Styela clava: one gene and its partner. Each later gene encodes a partner of the first gene's protein in a complex. Links are inferred from orthologs where the notes say so. Each region holds a gene or a part of one and is shown in the gene's direction. Other genes may lie near its edges. The genes, in order: symplekin-like and RNA polymerase II subunit A C-terminal domain phosphatase SSU72-like.

Region 1 (9,033 bases):
GCAGTCTAATTTTGAGTTCGCAGGTTTCAAAAAAGTGTTATTTTAATTTGGCCTTATACCTACTCCTCCATAGTTGTCTCTTATGTGAGCCATTGTGGAAGTTTTTGCCTGACACCGACGGTTCGCAAGGGATGTTCAAAATATATAAAATTGAAGGTGAACATAAATCCATCAAGATCTTGTCAACGGGAAGTAATGTGAGCAATTAATAAAGTGGCAAAATTTAGGTTAAAACAAACAGGAAAAAATATGAATGTTTCGCTTGCTGACACTCCTATCTTTGACTTAAAATTGTTGGTGGTGGTTAAAGGTAAAAGCGGTAAAAACATGCTCAACAAGAACTGCACAATGGGGGTTGGTTGTGACATTACTTTGTATTTAATTCGGTTATATGAAAGTATAATTTATCAAAGTACCTCTGGTTCAACTGTGCACATCTTTGCTCTATTCAATGATTATTAAACCCTGCTGGTGGGCTGGCATTTGTTTATCCACTCTGATCTTATGACACCATTCATTTCAATTTCAGTCGTGAGAGCGATAAACCGAAGGGCCAAAGAAAAGGTGGCAAAAATCAAAGAGGGAATAAGAAATTCAATAAAAGAACTGGTGGGAAACCAAAGACAGTAAAAACTTAAATGAGAAAATGGTTGTAATGAAGACTGGTGAATTATTCAATGCAGCTTGGTATCAAAAGTGGATCCGGGCGTCATGGAGCTCTTGATTTCTAGGGCCCTGTGGTGGTCATTATTTGTGGTAGAATTCCAAAAAAGTGGTCGCACCTTGAGCATGTATTCTGCCCTCGTACATTTGTACACATTATCTGTTAAAGATGACTGCCAGCGGCTAAATTTGAATTAGTGTCTTATGTGCTATTATTTTTGTTCAAGTTTGCTCAAAGTTAGGTTTCTGGCCCTAAATATAAAATTAGGAAGAGTAGGCTACTAATGATAGAACTGCTGATGTACCAAAGCTGTGCATAGGTTATGTGTAGTTTTTTAACCTATTTTTATCTGCTATTATTTATTTTACAATTTTGCTCAAAGCTAGGTTTCAGGCATTCAATCGCTCTTGTCTCAGTAAATATAAGAGATTGATATTCCAAAATGAGCAAATAAATGAATTCATCTTTTCCCCTCCGGTATTCGAAAAACATTATTCGCCTTTTAATTCTACCACTTCTGCTATTAAATAAATTACAAAAAAATCTCAATCATGATATATTTTTTCAAACACAAGAACAGTTATCAGATAAATATTTATTTTGAAAACTTACAAATCTGAAATAGGGCATTATGTCACATATATGGGCGCTCCAGAAGTGTGTGTACATACCAATATGAAGTTTACATCAAGTTGTGTGTAGGTACTGAAAGCTATGGGGTATGTTTACTAAGGAAAATCTGAATAAAATTATGGCCTAACCCAATACACACACTACAGGAGTACCCATATACGACCCCATTGATAATGAGCCAGAGATTCGGAGTGACTCGGTGAAATGTCTCTTTAAATATTTGATTTGAAGGTTGGCTCATTCCCCAATAACGTTTCATTTATAACATAAGTATAAAGTATTTATTTGAAGAGATTGCTAATTATAATAGGGTTTAATTTCAACAGTCTTTATGTTGCAATTGCAAAACAATACAGATAAGATTTTATAAAAAAAATAATTGCAGTAACACCCATATATATATATATAAGTGCAAAAAGGATATAATAGCCATTATATTTCATACTTTACTGTAACTGACGAAAATGGAACCTCTTCGGAACTGATTAATCATCTGGTAAGGCAAGATCGTGGTTAAACCGACTGCTAAGGTTGATATAGCGGAGCGTAGTTTATAAATTGGCTTAGTAGCAATAACTTCTTGAGCAAGGCCGTAAATACATTCCAAACCCTAGAATACACAATTCTCTGTTTGGGTTTGCTCTTTGATTCAGAATAATTGTAGAGTAAGCTTCTACATTTTGAAGATTTCATTGCGGCTTATCAATTTATCGAATGTTTTGGGTAAACTTGAAATATAGATAAAATATTGAGAATTGAGGACATTATTGTGATGTGCTAGGCCGACATCAATTTACCCTGATAAATGTGATTGAACAGAAACAAACACTTGAGCATATCAGATATTTCTGAAACTGTCTGGTTGCTGATCATCTTTAAAACTGTTATGAAAAGAAACCGTTTCATTTGCAGATTTATATTCAACTCTTTGTTCATCGCAACTCGCTGCTATATCAGCTATAACCTTAGTGCCCAAGTTATCAAGTGCAAATGCCGTAGCTCCAAGATTCACTGCGGCCCCCATGGCTAGATTTGTGGCTTCCGCTGCATCTGGTCCATATTTATATTCCATATTCTTAACTGTTGCTGTGGTAACGGCTTGGGCAATAGTTGAGCCGGCTTTTTCCAGTTCTGTCCAGATTTTACCGAATCCTGCAAGCCCCGATTTCACCACTTTTATCGCACCGTACACATTAGTGCTCGTATTTTCTGGGCTATCTTCTATTGCCTTCGTGAAATATGGGGCAACTTGTTGACCAACTGAAGTTGTGACCGAACATAACCACTGAATCAACCAATTTTTTACCCGGACTGTGGTATCAGCTGCATTGTATGTATATTCAAGGCCTCTTTTGATATATGGATTGACCGTTACTTTCCCTTCTGCTGGGGTCAACTTTGCTTTAATATTGTTTGCACTGCTTTCAACTAAATTGGTAGCATAGTCTGTCCCATTTCGGACATGTTGGGACAAAGCGGTCGCTCCATTTGTTACCGATGCTGCCATGCGGTCACTCATGCTTGGCGGAATGTAATCATCCGCTTCTGAAAATGCTCCTATAAATTCTGATAAATCAACAAATCCTTCGTCTGGATTTTCAATTTGAAAAGCAGCATAAGTTTGAAGAATATTCTCGAACATTTCCACATACTCTCTCGACACATTGCTCGAAATTACGACCCCTATTGCGTACCCTTCTTGAATTCCATCTTCTGTGCACTTGGGGAACATATAGGCACCGTTCGCAGATTTCAAAACCGGCATCTGGTTATTTGCGAGTGGATACACCCAGTCTCCGACTTGAAGTATAGCTTGAGGTCCTCCTGGTGTTACAGAATCTTCCTTCAATAATACAATTTGTAAGGATGCTGGGTAAGACGGAGGCATTGATTCTACTTGGCTCTCTGCTGAGACAAAATATATTTGTGCGCCACTCTCTATAGATAAAAGTGGATCGGCCATAATGTCACTATCGTGGAATTGGGGACCAGACTGAGATGAAAGTGGGTCGTGTAGAGAATATGAAGGCGGGCTTTCGGGCTGTGGAACATCGTGATTAACTGGTTCATCAAAAGATTGTAAATGATAAATTCTCTGTCTTATATTAGCTATGGTTGATATGATCTGTTCTTGCATCTGCCTGGCTTGTTCCCATCCTGCACTGGATTGTTCAAAATCGTGGATATTGTGTCTCAAACCATTCTCACTATGTCTCAAAGCCTGAAGATAGAGTGCCATAGCGTCTGCGTTGTTGTTTGCATCATCTTGTGCCAAAGCCTGCGAAGCTAGAGACACTGATTTAGCATGGCATGATCTGATTTCGTTGAGTATTTCGTCAAAGGCTGGAGGTGCTGACGGTCGAATTACTTGCTGTGCCATGGCTTTATAGTTTGAAAAATATACTGTCACCCCGATATACCAAGTTACTGCCAAATTACCCATTCATCGGGTTTTATTGCGCCTACTTCTGCCCGATATACGTGGCCTAAAGCCCGCTATATCATTTCCCGGTAATTCACCTGCATGTAAAATGAGTCTTAAAAAGGGGATTTCCCTTTGAATCTTGTGATCTCTGAAAATGACATCACCATTCGTCAAGCGTCACAGCTATGAGCCTATGATTCAGCTTTCAAAGCTTTGTTTAGGCTGCAAACACCATCGAGATGTCATCCACAAAAAATCTGCATATCGATAAATAAATTAATGGACATAAACGAGGAAAAGTCAAGAATGAAAAGAGCAGACCAAACCAATCAAGAACTTGAAATGAAAAATTGAAAATTTTTATCTGAATCATTTAAATTTTTAGACCAATATATCACATTTTTTTTTTATATCAAACTCATATGAATCTAACACAATTAGAAAACTTTAGTTGCTTGTTTTGATCATAAATCATGTACGGAGACCAGTTGACCTAGTTACAACCGCGAGATGTCAGACGTCAGCAATTTATTTTCTTCGTTCGAGTGTTGCCAGATTTTATGATCATTAATACATCAATATATATTTTTAAAACACATCTTGTACGAATAAAACAAAAAATGTTATTTCCAAGTGTGAAATTATTGTTAATAAAGGAATTTTGATTTAAAAAAAGTAATGCATGCGCTCTATTATCCACCGTATCTGCATTGATTTCAAATATTTGAGTGATTGTGGCAAAGGTTTATGTAGGTCGTAGAATGCAGTCGGTTTCAGTTCGGTCGGCGCCATTTTTTTTTCATAATTGAGGCGTTTATAAAAATATCTGAATTTCAATTGCCTATTATTTATTTATCGTTATTTAAAGGTATTTATTATTTTATTTATTCTTCAAAAATTGATCAATCCACACCAAGGAACTATAAAAAAAAATTTTTACGGAAATTATGAATTAATGTGGAATATTTTTCCCTCAAAAGTCAGATAGTGTATCTAGAATTAGATTTATTGCTGGAAATGACTTGTGTGTTATAGAAACAGAATTAGTATCACATTTGTTCATGAATTGTCCATTTGTAAAACAATACCGTAGGCCTAGGTATATGATTACCGTATGCAGGTAGGCTATGTTTCCTGATTATCGTGAAAATAACTGGCAGAAACAATTTAATTGATTATGAAACTTGTGTATTATTACATTTGAGTCCCCCTTATCATGCACATTTATTGAATGTAAAAAAAATGATATTATTTTGTTTAACGATAACGAACTCACTAACGCTAGCGATCTCTCACATATCGGGATCGTTACGCCGAGTAAAACAGCTTGCTCGATTTCGATTGATTGTCTGTGCGTCTTGGATGACAGTTAGTACTGTAGTATACCTCGGATGGCCTTATTACATTACTGTGGCATCGTAGTGCAGTAGTGAGTGATATTTTTTTGGCGGATTTTGCGGAATAAACACTGTAACTGCTTAAATAACGCCAAACAGTAGTACCATGCTCAATTATTATTTTTAAGATTAGTTATGCGAATAGTCAGCTGATAGTTTACATAGACTTCGGAAGTGAAATATATAACATATATTTTTGACATATTGTTTTGTTGAAATTTGTAGTTATGTATGTATGGTTATTACAGTAGGGCACACTTTCCAAATTCCAAGAATGTCCCGTTGGTTCAATAAAATAAACACTTCTATGTGTCTCAGAAACGAGGGGCATCGTGCTCAACGGCAGATGCATCTTATTGGGCCATGCTTGTCTCGATAATAATCTACATTATTCCTGGCCGTCACATGATCTAAATTCCCATTATTTGCTAAAAACTCTAAAATGTCATGGTGAAAAAAAAATTTTCTTTTAGTAAATCGGATTATATTTTCCTGAGGAACTCAATGATGACGTTTTCTAGCTACTTCGTAGTTTTTTGTGCAGCTTCATTTTACTATATTTTCACCTATTATTAGAGGTGACAATGTCCAGACGTCCTTTCCCTTGTTTATGGGATTCTTTGGGACGAGACAATGTCTCTCAATCTGTAAGGTGTGCTGTACTGTATAATGATACTAATCAAACCATTCACATTTCAGATCCGTTACCTAACATCCATATATTTGACCTAATATTAATTTATTCCCATCACCAATATGGGGAAACCCAAAAAAACTGGTACAAAATCGCAAAGGTCATCAAATTCCAAAGACCAAGATGATGAGTCAGCATCTTCTCATCAGTCAACATCAGAAAGAGTAATTGATCTGTTAAATCAGGCTTCTATGGCCTCAACGGACCCTGACAAAGTTAACAAACTCAAACAAGTTCAGGAATTAATTGTGAATAAAGAACCAGCATTACTGGATAGTTTTACTGATGAAGTTCTAGCATTCCAAGCTGATAGGTCGCATGACGTTAGAAAATTTGTTGTCGGATTCATGGAAGAGGCGTGCAAAAAAGATAATGAACTTCTCATGAAAGTAATGGCGAATTTAAATTTATTACTCGCTGATACCAATGCGAATGTCACTAAAAAACTCATTCAGTCTATGACACAGTTATTTAGAATTGTGATCTATTGGTTAACAAAGGGTAGTTTCATCTCTGACAGTCATAAAGCTTGTTGGAAAGTGACATGCAATATTCGAGATCATATTTACGAATTACTGGATTCTGTCAATGACGGAGTCCGAACCCAAACTGTCAAATTCGTTGAAAAAGTGATCTTGATTTTGTCAGAGATACAGCGAGGATCAGAGGTACCTAAGAAAACAGAACCTGCGTCTTCTATTGATGAGATTCCATTAAACCACGCATTACTAAAACGGGATGAACTAAAAGCAGACGGAGAAAAAGCTCTTCAGAAATTGTTGGGTTTTATTGCTAATCCTGCTATATCGAGCGTTAATCTTATGGCAGCCATGGGAACCTTATCAGCCATCGCAAAGCAAAGACCACAATTTATGGGAACGGTAGTACAAGCATTTGAAGCATTACATGCAAATTTACCACCAACACTGGCAAAAACTCAAGTCGCGAGCGTGAGAAAACATTTGAAAATGCAACTAATGAACATGTTACGGCTTTTTTCATCAACACAATATCATCCACAAATTACCAATCTACTTTATGACTTGGGTACGACATCATCTGAGATAGCAAAAAATATGCCGAAATTGTCACAACGCCAAAGTGCCGGTAGCTCGCGAAAACGTAGCCCGGATGAAGATAAAGGAGAGGGGAGTGGAAATAAAAAAATGAAAAAAGAGGTGAACGAATATGATGATGATGTTGAAATAGGACCTTCTACGAGCTCAGCACCTGCCCCTGTCCCATCAGAACCTGTGGTCAATCAACACAGTGTTGCTATTGATATCACAGCTAAACAGTTAGTCCCTTTATTATCACCAGAAAATGTCGCTAATTTAGTATTATTGAGCATGGTTATGTTGCCCGATAAAATGCCAGACGCGTTTCAAGCTTCATACACCCCTATTGAATCCGCGGGCACAGAGGATCAGATCAGTCATTTAGCGAGATTACTTTCTATACAAATGACAGCCATGGGTGTCGGATCTGGAGTGCAAAAAGCTGCTGAAATGGCGGCGGAAGAAGACGCAAAAAAGAGAGAAAAGAAGTTAGAAGAAGAAGGAAAACAGAAATTACAAATTCAAACTGTTATAGGAGGAACAACAAAACCAACACCAGTTCAAGAAGACACTGCTCAAGATAAATCGAAGAAAAATATCGAAGCAATGATATCATCTCAGACAGTCGTACCGAACCGTGGTTTGCCTCGCAGAATCCAGGGTTTTCGATTAGAAAGTATCACTACCCCTCTCGATTTAGACACAAAAGATAAAATCATCAAAAATGCAGTTTTGAGAGTCTTGAGATCAGAACAAGCTGCTAACGCTGCTGGAGTTCATGCCCAATGGTCAAAAATTTTAACCAGTCTTGTGGCACAGTTTGGTGGAGATCTTCATAGAGCTTTAGCAATGTTTATTTTAGAAGATATTAGGAATCGTTCTTCCCTTGCATTTGCATGGTTGTATGAAGAATTCAATATATATTTAGAAAACAGTCGTGGCTCGAATGACAAATCTGCACAAGAAAATTACGATGCCTGTCTGACAGGACTTTTACAAGGATTCAGAGAAAAACCAGAAACACGAGACAGTCTTTTCAATAAATTGGTAATGCAGGCACCTTTGTTAACTGATGGGGCGATAAAACAAGTCCGTTTGTATTGCGAAGATGAAAAAAGATCACAATCGGGAATTAAACTTGTTAAGGACTTATTGCATTACAGAATAACGAGAAAAATGCAGTTTCTTCGTTTATTACTTGATCTTTGCGTCAGTAAAAATGAAAGTACCCAAACCGAAGCTGTTGAATGTATAAAATCAATTTTCCTACAAATTGAATTACAGGATTTCATCCGAACATATGCTGTCACTCATCTTGAATATTTATCAAACTCCGCACCACCTTTGACCCTAGTCCCAGAGGGAACACCGGTAGATGCTAAATCAACATGGACGGAAACCCAAATGAAACAATGCATGACGTTATTTCTCGCTTTGCTACCGTTGGATCATAATTTAATCGAAACACTTGCCGAAGTTTATGTAAAAACAAGCGCAGATGTGAAACGAGTTGTCTTACGAATCCTTGATAAACCTGTGAGCCAAATGGGAATGGAATCGCCACAATTATTGCGCCTCGTTGAAGGATGTCCAAAAGGTGCGGAGACTCTTGTTACTAGAATGTTGCATATACTTACAGACAAGACCCACCCAACTGTAGAACTGGTGCAGCGTGTCACAGACTTGTATGCAAAACGCGTCCCTGATGTACGTTTCCTTATACCAGTCTTGAACGGTCTCGAAAAGAATGAAGTTTTAAAAGCTCTTCCGAAGCTTGTTCGATTGAATCCTCCGGTGGTGAAAGGAGTATTTAATCGATTGCTTGGAGTCAATAGAGGACAACAATCCGAACCATCTGTGAGTTCTCTGTCACCTGTGGAGTTACTGATCGCACTTCATAATATGGATTCAAATACTGCTGATGTGAAAAGTGTAATAAAAGCTACAAGTTTATGTTTTGCTGAAAAAGCAGTTTACACATCGGAAGTTTTGGTTACTGTTATCAACCACTTGGTGGAGCAAGCAGAAATTCCGACTCTGTTAATGAGAACGGTAATTCAGTCCTTGATCACTTATCCACGTTTATCAGGTTTTGTTATGAATGTTCTTCAAAGATTAATTTTAAAAAAGGTTTGGGAACAAGAAAAAGTATGGGATGGATT
Region 2 (8,848 bases), on another chromosome or scaffold:
TCTACTTTACAGTCTAGATTTAATAAAAGAGTCATTGTCACAATTCTTGAGCTCTTCTGATAACAAATACCCAACGCTAAGTAATCAAGCTGTTGTCCCAATTTTCAACAAGTTACGTGTACGAAAAACTTTTTCATCACTAGCTTTAAATAAAACGGAGCAAAGACTGAACCGCTGCAGACCTACGTGTTGCAAAACCCTTTTTTGATGTCCTTTTTTGATGAACCCTTTGAACAAAACAGCAGCAGCAAAATTCTCACTACAGTACATGATTTGGCATGTACATGTTTTATTATGTGAGATGTTTTCTGTGTGCTCTTTCTACGCACAATGGGTGACCAGCACTGCACTTTATTACGCAAATTTATGTTATTATTTTATTACACCGATTTCAATTTTGGCCAGCACGTTATTTGATAGTTTTTTCTTCATGTGAAATGTTTTTTAGTTATCCTTTTTTTTTTCTAGAAGCATAGTGAGTGCCCGACATTGCACTATATTACGCAAATATATGTTATTATTTTCTGTTTCACTTATTTTAATTTTGCCGGTCGGCGAGTACATTTTATTTAATTTCACCGATCCGCCAGGGTAGAAAGGTTGGGAACCGCTGGACTAGACTATCTGTACTTGTTTTTTTATTTATTTTAAAACGTAACAGGGATGTTTTTTCGAACTTTCGCATATTTGCATTGGTGGGGGGAGGCTTTTTACAACAGATTCAAAAATGTTCCTTTTTTTTACCACACTGATACTTACTTTTTTGTATCAAACTAGCTACCGCGTTTTCTCGAAAATAAGACAGGGTCTTTTTTCCTTTTTTTTTTAAATATCACTAGGGCTTATTTTGGGGGATGTCTTTAATTTTCATTTATCAAAAACAAAATTACAAAGTGGAGAATTACGAGATTTTTAAATATACAAAATATGAATCGTGGTGTAATTTCACGTTATTTCAGGTAATTGAACCTTTCCCTCTCTCACGCTTTAGATTAATCATTTAAAACGTGTAGGAGAAATTTCTTGCTATCGACTAGGTCCTCTTAAGGCAGGGGTCTCCAACTCAAAATATGTCGCGGGCCATTTTATGAAATTTATTGACGACGCGGCTAAGAAATTATATACAAAAATTAACTAAGTAAATCTGAATATATTTGTTAGATTACCCTTGAATCTTACACCAAGCGAGACATGAAACATATTCGTTTACTTGTGTTGGATATTTGGCACCGTTTTGTAGCGGTGAGACTCGATGGTTGGCCTGATTTTGCGTTAGTTTGCTGGTCTTTAGACAGCATAAAAACTCTCGTCTGTTAGTCGTGTGCAAAAGGCTGATTTGTTAACACTCATTGTTAAAAAATCATTTCACAAGCCTTCAACATACACTTTTTAATAAAGCTTCCCTCAACGAAAGGACGCGACGATTTTGCAATCATCTCACTCATGGCAAAGCTTGCTTTCATCGAATCTTCACAAGTTTTGTTTGTGTCTGAAAAAAAATTCTTTGTTTCATCAGTGAAAATTTTATTTCCGTTACCTTTTCGTGAGAAATTGTTTCAGTATAAACATGGTATTTTTCCCTTTGTAATGATTCATAAGTTCATAATAATCTAGTTTGGCGTTAACTGCACATAATTTGTGATTCGTAATCAAATAATGATTCACAACTGCACACTTCCATGATCTGACCGAAACTTGTTTATTTCGTCATAATAAAAACGCGGAATAGAATGGTTGAATTTACAATTTGATTATTACAATAGAACAAAATATGAACGTGGTAAAGTGGAATAACGGGGGGAATTTTTGTTTTACTTTTAACAGTTTGTTGTATCGGACTCTTGATGTTAAATAACACGATAAAACCCATAGTTGACATCATACTATTTTAGTTTTTTTACTGGAGAAATCTCAAACACGACGCGGGCCGCATATATATAAAATTTAATACTAGGATAAAATTGGCTAAGGGTAATTCCCATATGATGTTTCGAACATGCGAGAACCAGATTGTATACGCAACCTAAGATGGCACTCTCAATATAGTCAAACTTTTTGCTATGATTAGAAGTATTGAAATATTTTTCCTACGCAGGCCTGCCCAACCTTTTTATGTTCGCGAGCCCGCTTCCCACGAGTAAAATCATGGCGGGTCGCAAACTTAAATACCAGTAAAGTTCTGATTTACGTTAGAATTCACACAATGCATACTGGGGCACGTATGGCGTGTTTGCCTTATCCCAAAATACCCGACATGCTTTGGTAGACTTTATTTCGCTAGCTCACAATCTGATTCTTGCTCGCAAATATTTCATTGTTCACTTTTAATGTTAAATCTTCAACACTTATACTTATATATGAGGGCTACTTGTATATTTGCAGAAACTGCCTTTTATTTGTCAGGCTGATTTATTGCTGCTCCAAATAATAGTCATCGTTTACCTATTTAAATATTGGGTTTAAGTTTTTAATAGGCCACAGTTGTTGTCTTGTTTGAAAGGCTTACTAATAATAGTTATTCAACCTAAATTGTATTTATATATATGACTATCGATCGTATGTTTACCAAAATTGTTTCTTAATTTGGGTATATAATAATTTTTCAGTCACCTATTTGCCAAAAAATTTTCTTGTTACTTATCGATTTTTATCGGTAAGTATGTTGATAGGTATTTGTCTGTCTGTCTGTCTGTTAGATGCACGCGATATCTCACGAAAACGAGATTGAATCTGTTCCAGATTTTTCATGTGCTTTCATCATATCTCGGACCAGAAACCTATTGATTTTGGGCGAAGTATATCGTATAATTAGCGAGTTATTAATCAATAAGTGATGGGACACAAGTTGTCACTATGGAGTAAGAGCGCTTTTTTGGGGGATCCCCTGTCTTTTGATCGATAATTCCTCGGTCTCTGACCGATTTCTCGTTGGAAGGTTGATTCCTCTCTTGAAACAATTGTTTTACATGAGGACCATGTTGTTTATCTCCTGAAATTCATTCGTACATGTAAGGCTGGCCCCTTGCTGATTCGAACAATTGTTATGTGTCCAAATCTACATTGAGTATAGTAGTCCAATAGCCAAAATTGTTTTTTTTATTTGTGGGTCTTACTCCTCACTTTCAAATAATAGTGTAATAGTTGAAAATCTGCCCAAACTGTTTCATTTTACAAAACTCATCATTCAAAAATTGATTTCACGGAAAAAAATTAATTACTTTTATTTACTTCATTTTTGTTTGTTTGTTTTTTCAAATTTTGTGTCGTGAACTTCAACCATTTCTAATAATCATATTTTACTGTGAATTTATCAGCGTAAACTTGGAGGGGGCTGACTTCGATGACCGCATGGTCGTATCGCTCCTTCCAGTCTATACCGAAAAAAGCGTACTTTTTTATAGCCATTATTTATTTATTATTATGACTGTTTTTTTCTGGTTGACGAAATAAATCTCTCTCTCTCTCTCTTATGCACTTCATCTATATTTAACTAGCCAATTATCGAGATTCAAACCTGGTTTTAAAGCTGTTCATATGCTCTGCAATCCTAAGCGTATTCTGTGAGTGCCGACCTGCGGTGACAAATTTTCACTTTTAAAAGTGATTTTAATATAAGCCCTCCCCTCAAAATGAGAACTATTCAATAGCGCGAAATTTTTTTTACCTAGTTGATATGGTCAATTTTGAATAATCTATGTTTAGCAGTTTTTTTTTCAAATGAAAATGTGTTATTTAAAAGCAAATGAATATCTGTTTTCATATTCCGTATACCGGCATTTGAAAATCTCGTAATTCTCTACTTTGTAATTTTGTTTTTGTATTATTCGAACGAATCCGTTTTTCAGGCTCTTTACAGACTTTGACACGACCTATTCGTTTATATTCTCATTGGCCATGATTAGGTTTGTTTCTTTTTTTTATTAAGAATTTTGTTTCCTGGTGTATATGCGTTTTATTGTGTGATTGATATTTTATTCTTGTATGATGACTTCCATGTCCATCCATCTGCCGTTGGAATTTAGAAAATAGAGTTTGTCTCGATGGTCACGTTTGGTGCTTTGTGTTAAGAATACCTGAATAATATTTTTAATTTATATGAGAGCTTACGGTATACATATTTTAAGGCTTTCTACAGACCTCTTGTGGATGTTATCACCTCCTGTGCCCGAGAGCAAAAATAGTTAGTTTGTTAGGCTACCCACAATTCCATTTTGGCCCTCTGTCGACATTGATAGAAACTAATTCTGTCATTGCGTTTTATTTGTTTTGTGACAACTGTGGGATACCGGTACTAGTGCCGATAATTCGTTAGGTTTTTTTCGTTGTGACTTCGGATTAAGTCTGTGAGTACTAGCACCGTGAGTTTTGCCGATGACTGGTCATGTTGTTTTTTCTTCAAAAAAAGGAAACAAGGCAAAATTCAAGAAAACCGGTGATGGAAACTGTATACCGTACTGGTACCGGTATACCAGTACGGTATACCGTTACCCGGTACCGGTACGTACTGTTCTCTGAACAGTGTTCTGTACTATTACTGTACCGTACTACTGTACTAGCCTAGTACGGAGCTATGACTGAATGGTGCATATATATCCAGATATCTGTATATACACTTTCTTGCCACATTATTTTTGTTTTGGTTTTTCACTTTCTTAGTGCTGTAGTGAGTGGAAAGTTTTTATGGTAGAATTTGCATAAAATTATTTGTAAAAGTTTCCCTGAATCAAAAAAATTGATTAATATAACAATGATCTGGTCAAATTGGGATAATACCTGGTACCAGGGTACCGGTACCGTAGCTTTTTAGTCATAGAAAAAAAGAAAACTTAATAAATACCATATTATTAACTTAAGCACAATTCTTTTTCATTATATGACTATTTTGATAATGTCAAAAAATTCATTATTGGATTGGGGTATCATTTTTCACACAGGCAATTTATTTGGACGATGTAGACAATGGCCAAAATATAAATAAATTTGCGATATGATTGTATTGGCATTTTACAGGTACAAGTGAAGATATAGACTATCTTGAATGAAGATTCAGAATTATTGAACTTAATTTTTGTATACGATTTTTACTTTATTATACTGTACCTAATTTTGTAGAATTTCGCTCATCCTAAAATACCAGTAGATCTATTCAATAGCAATCCATAAGTATAACCAATAAGTTTCAAGTTGATGCATTCTTTCCAACGCTCTTGTATACTTTAACCCTCCAAATCGATCACCTAGACCTTGAGTGTTATACATCAGCTCACTCATAGATACTTGTATATGCTAAATGTCATTCTGGTCATACTACAATTGGTACACAAAATTTTGTTCAGATTGACCTCTAACTGCTCTGTTTATAATATTGTCTTGTTTCCTATGCAGCCTCAAAAACATTTGTTTTTATATCTCTCACAATAGAATAGTTTGTGATGTTTAATTCAAACAGATGATTGGCAAGTCAGGGCTTTCAGATTATAATTTTTCCCATTTTGTTTCCATCAATTTCAAACTATTCTGTACCAAATAAATCTAAATGATGCAGTATTTTTTATTTTCAACAGATTATATATAATTGTCCTAATTTTACATTGTGATCACTGAAGAAACATAACAAAAATGTCATCAAAGTTGAAGTTTGCTGTAGTATGTTCAAGTAATATGAACAGAAGTATGGAAGCACACAGATTTATGAAGTATGAATTCCTGGTTATAGTCTTTGAACCAACTTCTAAATATTGTTCTATCTACATTTTCAAACTAGCAGCGTATTATTATATATATTTTATATTGTCATGTCCACTGTTAGTCGATCACAGCAGCACCAATATACAGGGTGATCACTAACCATAAAATGTGTCAACAGCTTTTATTTTTGCAAAGAATAACTTTTACCAAGTTTTTTAAAGACCTACCGTATGTTATATTCCACCCATGGATGCTCAAAATGTTGCCCGTGCACTCCAGAAAAGTGTCTTAAGTTAAGACTCTTAACCTAGAAATCCGAGCTCGTGCAGCTTTTTGAAGGTTACCTTGTGGGATATCATTCCAATTCAACCCACACCTATACTTTTCTTCGTGATGTCATCTGACCTTCAAATTGTCTGCTTTTCTAGCGACCAACTTTAGATTATCCTTCAAGCAATTCTGTAACCCAGAAACTAAACGTTGGTTGAATCAATCAAACAGAACTTACAAATTGAAGAAAATTTATTTATTACTTGAACTCATAAATCTAGATGTGACGCCAGTACACCACACAAAGCATCTCAATGATGCGAATATTTTTATTTATTGATTTGAAGAAACCAAGGAACTATATTATCTTGTTAACAGAAAAAAGGGATTCAATGTGCAGTCGTTCGGCACTGGTAACCAAGTGAAACTTCCAGGACCTTCAGCAGACAAACCTAACGTCTACCCATTTGACACAAGATATGACGATATCTATAAAGAATTAGCAAACAAAGATTTCAACCTGTATCCTTTTATTTAAAATATTATCAACTCTGCACATTATGGCTGTAACAATCGGAGAATCCAGAGTTTTTATCAGATATATCAGGAAGGATTGTGTATAACAAAAATGCTCGTAGAAGTACACAATAACATAATGTTAAATTTCTTCCTTATTTTTGAAGATTTTTTAATTATGTTATTGGAGTATTTTATTTTCACTTTTTACATGTTTATTTATGAATGTTGAGTGTTTTTGTTTTGCCGTTTTAAAAAAAATATATGCTACAATTGTTTATCAATAATTGTTACAAATTTTATCATTTCAATTCAGATGTGTTCTTTGTAATCTTGGCGAATATCAGATAGAGAATATCTTGCACGAGAACTACTACTAGAAGCGGTTACTATCCACGTGACATTGATATGTGATGGAAGCCCTTGGCGAATTGAATTAGAACTTTCTGCTTGAATTATATAGTTTTGTATAGGTAAGTATCTGTTATTTGTACAAAGACATTTCATGATTTTGCTCTTGTTATCAAATTTAGAAATTCATATTAGTCTTTTATATCATATACCGGTATATCTTTTTGGTATATATATACGTTTGAACATCGCTATTCCATGTTTTGTTGTTCATACACTCGCTACATCCTGATGTATGTTGAAATCTATTGTTATGCAAAGACTGGTGCGTTCATTTAGTATTTTTTTGGCATTGAATTTGATTCTGGTCTCGTTCTAATCATATTGTGGAGAGCCCAATATTGTCGAAGTGGATATATTTTTGGTCATGGATAACTAACACCTTATTATTTTATCAAGATAAATCTTTGGTAACCTGAAAAAAGCGACCCATAAATGTTTCAAATTTACGAAAATTTATTTAACACCTCAACACTTGAATTTATGTTTGTATATGAATAAACCCAAAATTTTCAGTAATCTGTGACGCTTGGTACAAAAGATATGTTCTCGTTAGACCATGTTCCCAATGACCTATTTTTTTGTCATGGAGGATATTATTTTATAGGATAAGTCTTCTCTTGTCTAGAACAGTGGTTCCCAACCTTTTTTCAGTCCACTCAAATTTGAAGAAATAAATAAATTTGGTGAAATCTTGCTACTCAAGGATATTCTCACATACTAAACGACATGTATTGTTTTCATGGCCGCAAAATTAGTGACAAATATAAGAGGATCATTTGACATTTATTGCCCAGAAACTACAGAAAAGTGAGAAAATTGCTTGTTTGCAATGGGCAGGTTTTTGAAATCATGGCACTTAATAAACAAAATAGATGTTGCCAAGTTTTCATGCTGTGATACCTAAAATCCACTGGAAAATAAAATCAACAACTGACTACTGACTGTTGAAAAAACAAGGTGCCCAGGATTTTTAGGCGCCCCAGTTTTAGGTCACACCCATGTGCCGGGGAAACACTAATTTAGAATATGTTCCAAATGACCTGGGTTCTGTTTTATTAGGGTATATTGTACGAGAACTTGTTTTGGTCTGCTTTACTCAGCTCACTGCTTTACATGTCATTGTTATCTGCATCCTTTTTTTCAGATCATAAACCTGACAAAGAATTTGTACTCACTTGATGGAACCATACTGCAGCATTGTTTGTCATCTAGCTATTCAACAAAATTGTGGTTTATAGATTAGCCTGACTAGATTTCTTAGACCAGTTGTAGGCCTTGTTGAAATTATTATAGCATTGACAGCTGAAGGTTCGGCCAACCAACTCTGACCAACGAAATCGCTTTTTTTATGATTGAGGCAGAGTTATTTGTATTGAGGAATAGCCGAATAGGTCGTACTGCAAGCATCGCTTTCTCGGAATCATACTTCGTAAATAAAATGTTATTTTTGACTAGGATATGTGGTAAGACCGTGGTTTCCAGTCATTCAAAGCACATTATCCATCTTTGATTTCCCAAAACCAAAACCTTGATCGTAGTCCTAACGTCTGATTAAAACTAAATTAAAAATTAACCTTTAGTTTTATCCGCATGGGAAACGAGCGAAAATTGGCCAAATATATGACCATGATTATTTTATATGGCTAAATAATCAGAATTTAAACACATAGTCAATACGATAAAAGTGTATCTGTATCTTGAGTCGTCTTTGGGGACGTTCATAATCATGTTCGTGCAACTTAATATTCAAGTTTATCTGAAAATCTGCTGAGCTATTCCTTAATGATTAGTGAAGATTGGAACCCTTTGTCGTAGGAGAGATTTAATAGCAAGGATATGATCATTTTTACAAGTTTCAAAGACTGCTCAGTATATGAAAGTAAAAAATGTAATACAAAGATGTAACTTCAATACATTTCAAGTCTCGTAACATCCATGCGCACAATTATTTCATATGTCA

The links.
Region 2: the proteins of symplekin-like (region 1) and RNA polymerase II subunit A C-terminal domain phosphatase SSU72-like are in contact, whole or in part, in a crystal structure (PDB 4YGX), measured with the Drosophila melanogaster proteins. The link is inferred for Styela clava from reciprocal best matches to the Drosophila melanogaster genes Sym and Ssu72. Residues at the interface, in NP_649580.1 of Drosophila melanogaster: Glu91, Ala117, Lys121, Gln125, Gly128, Ser129, Glu169, Asn170, Asp171, Gly172, Thr175, Asn176, Lys179, Phe180, Arg198, Ser240, Ser241, Val242, Ile245, Ala246, Ser249, Thr281, Ser283, Gln284, Ser286, Ser287, Lys290, Met294, Gln295; in NP_001285455.1 of Drosophila melanogaster: Glu114, Tyr117, Asp118, Val121, Met122, Glu125, Glu128, Ser129, Val130, Asp131, Asn132, Arg133, Pro134, Asp168, Asp170, Asn171, Asp174, Gln178, Glu181, Val187, Ile188, Leu189, His190, Ser191, Val192, Phe194.

The regions. Positions count from the first base shown.
Region 1 is NC_135263.1:4,743,150-4,752,182, forward strand, and holds the start of symplekin-like, read left to right. Parts: upstream 1-5,819; 5' UTR 5,820-5,875; coding exon 5,876-9,033. Other genes in the region: ribosome biogenesis regulatory protein homolog, read left to right, coding at 530-638; spartin-like, read right to left, coding at 2,136-3,740. UniProt on the Drosophila melanogaster protein: Component of a protein complex required for cotranscriptional processing of 3'-ends of polyadenylated and histone pre-mRNA. Involved in germline stem cell transit amplification, differentiation and mitosis-to-meiosis transition.
Region 2 is NC_135256.1:18,814,275-18,823,122, reverse strand, and holds the start of RNA polymerase II subunit A C-terminal domain phosphatase SSU72-like, read left to right. Parts: upstream 1-5,564; 5' UTR 5,565-5,619; coding exon 5,620-5,696; intron 5,697-6,336; coding exon 6,337-6,480; intron 6,481-6,501; exon of another isoform or gene 6,502-6,947; intron 6,948-8,032; exon of another isoform or gene 8,033-8,848.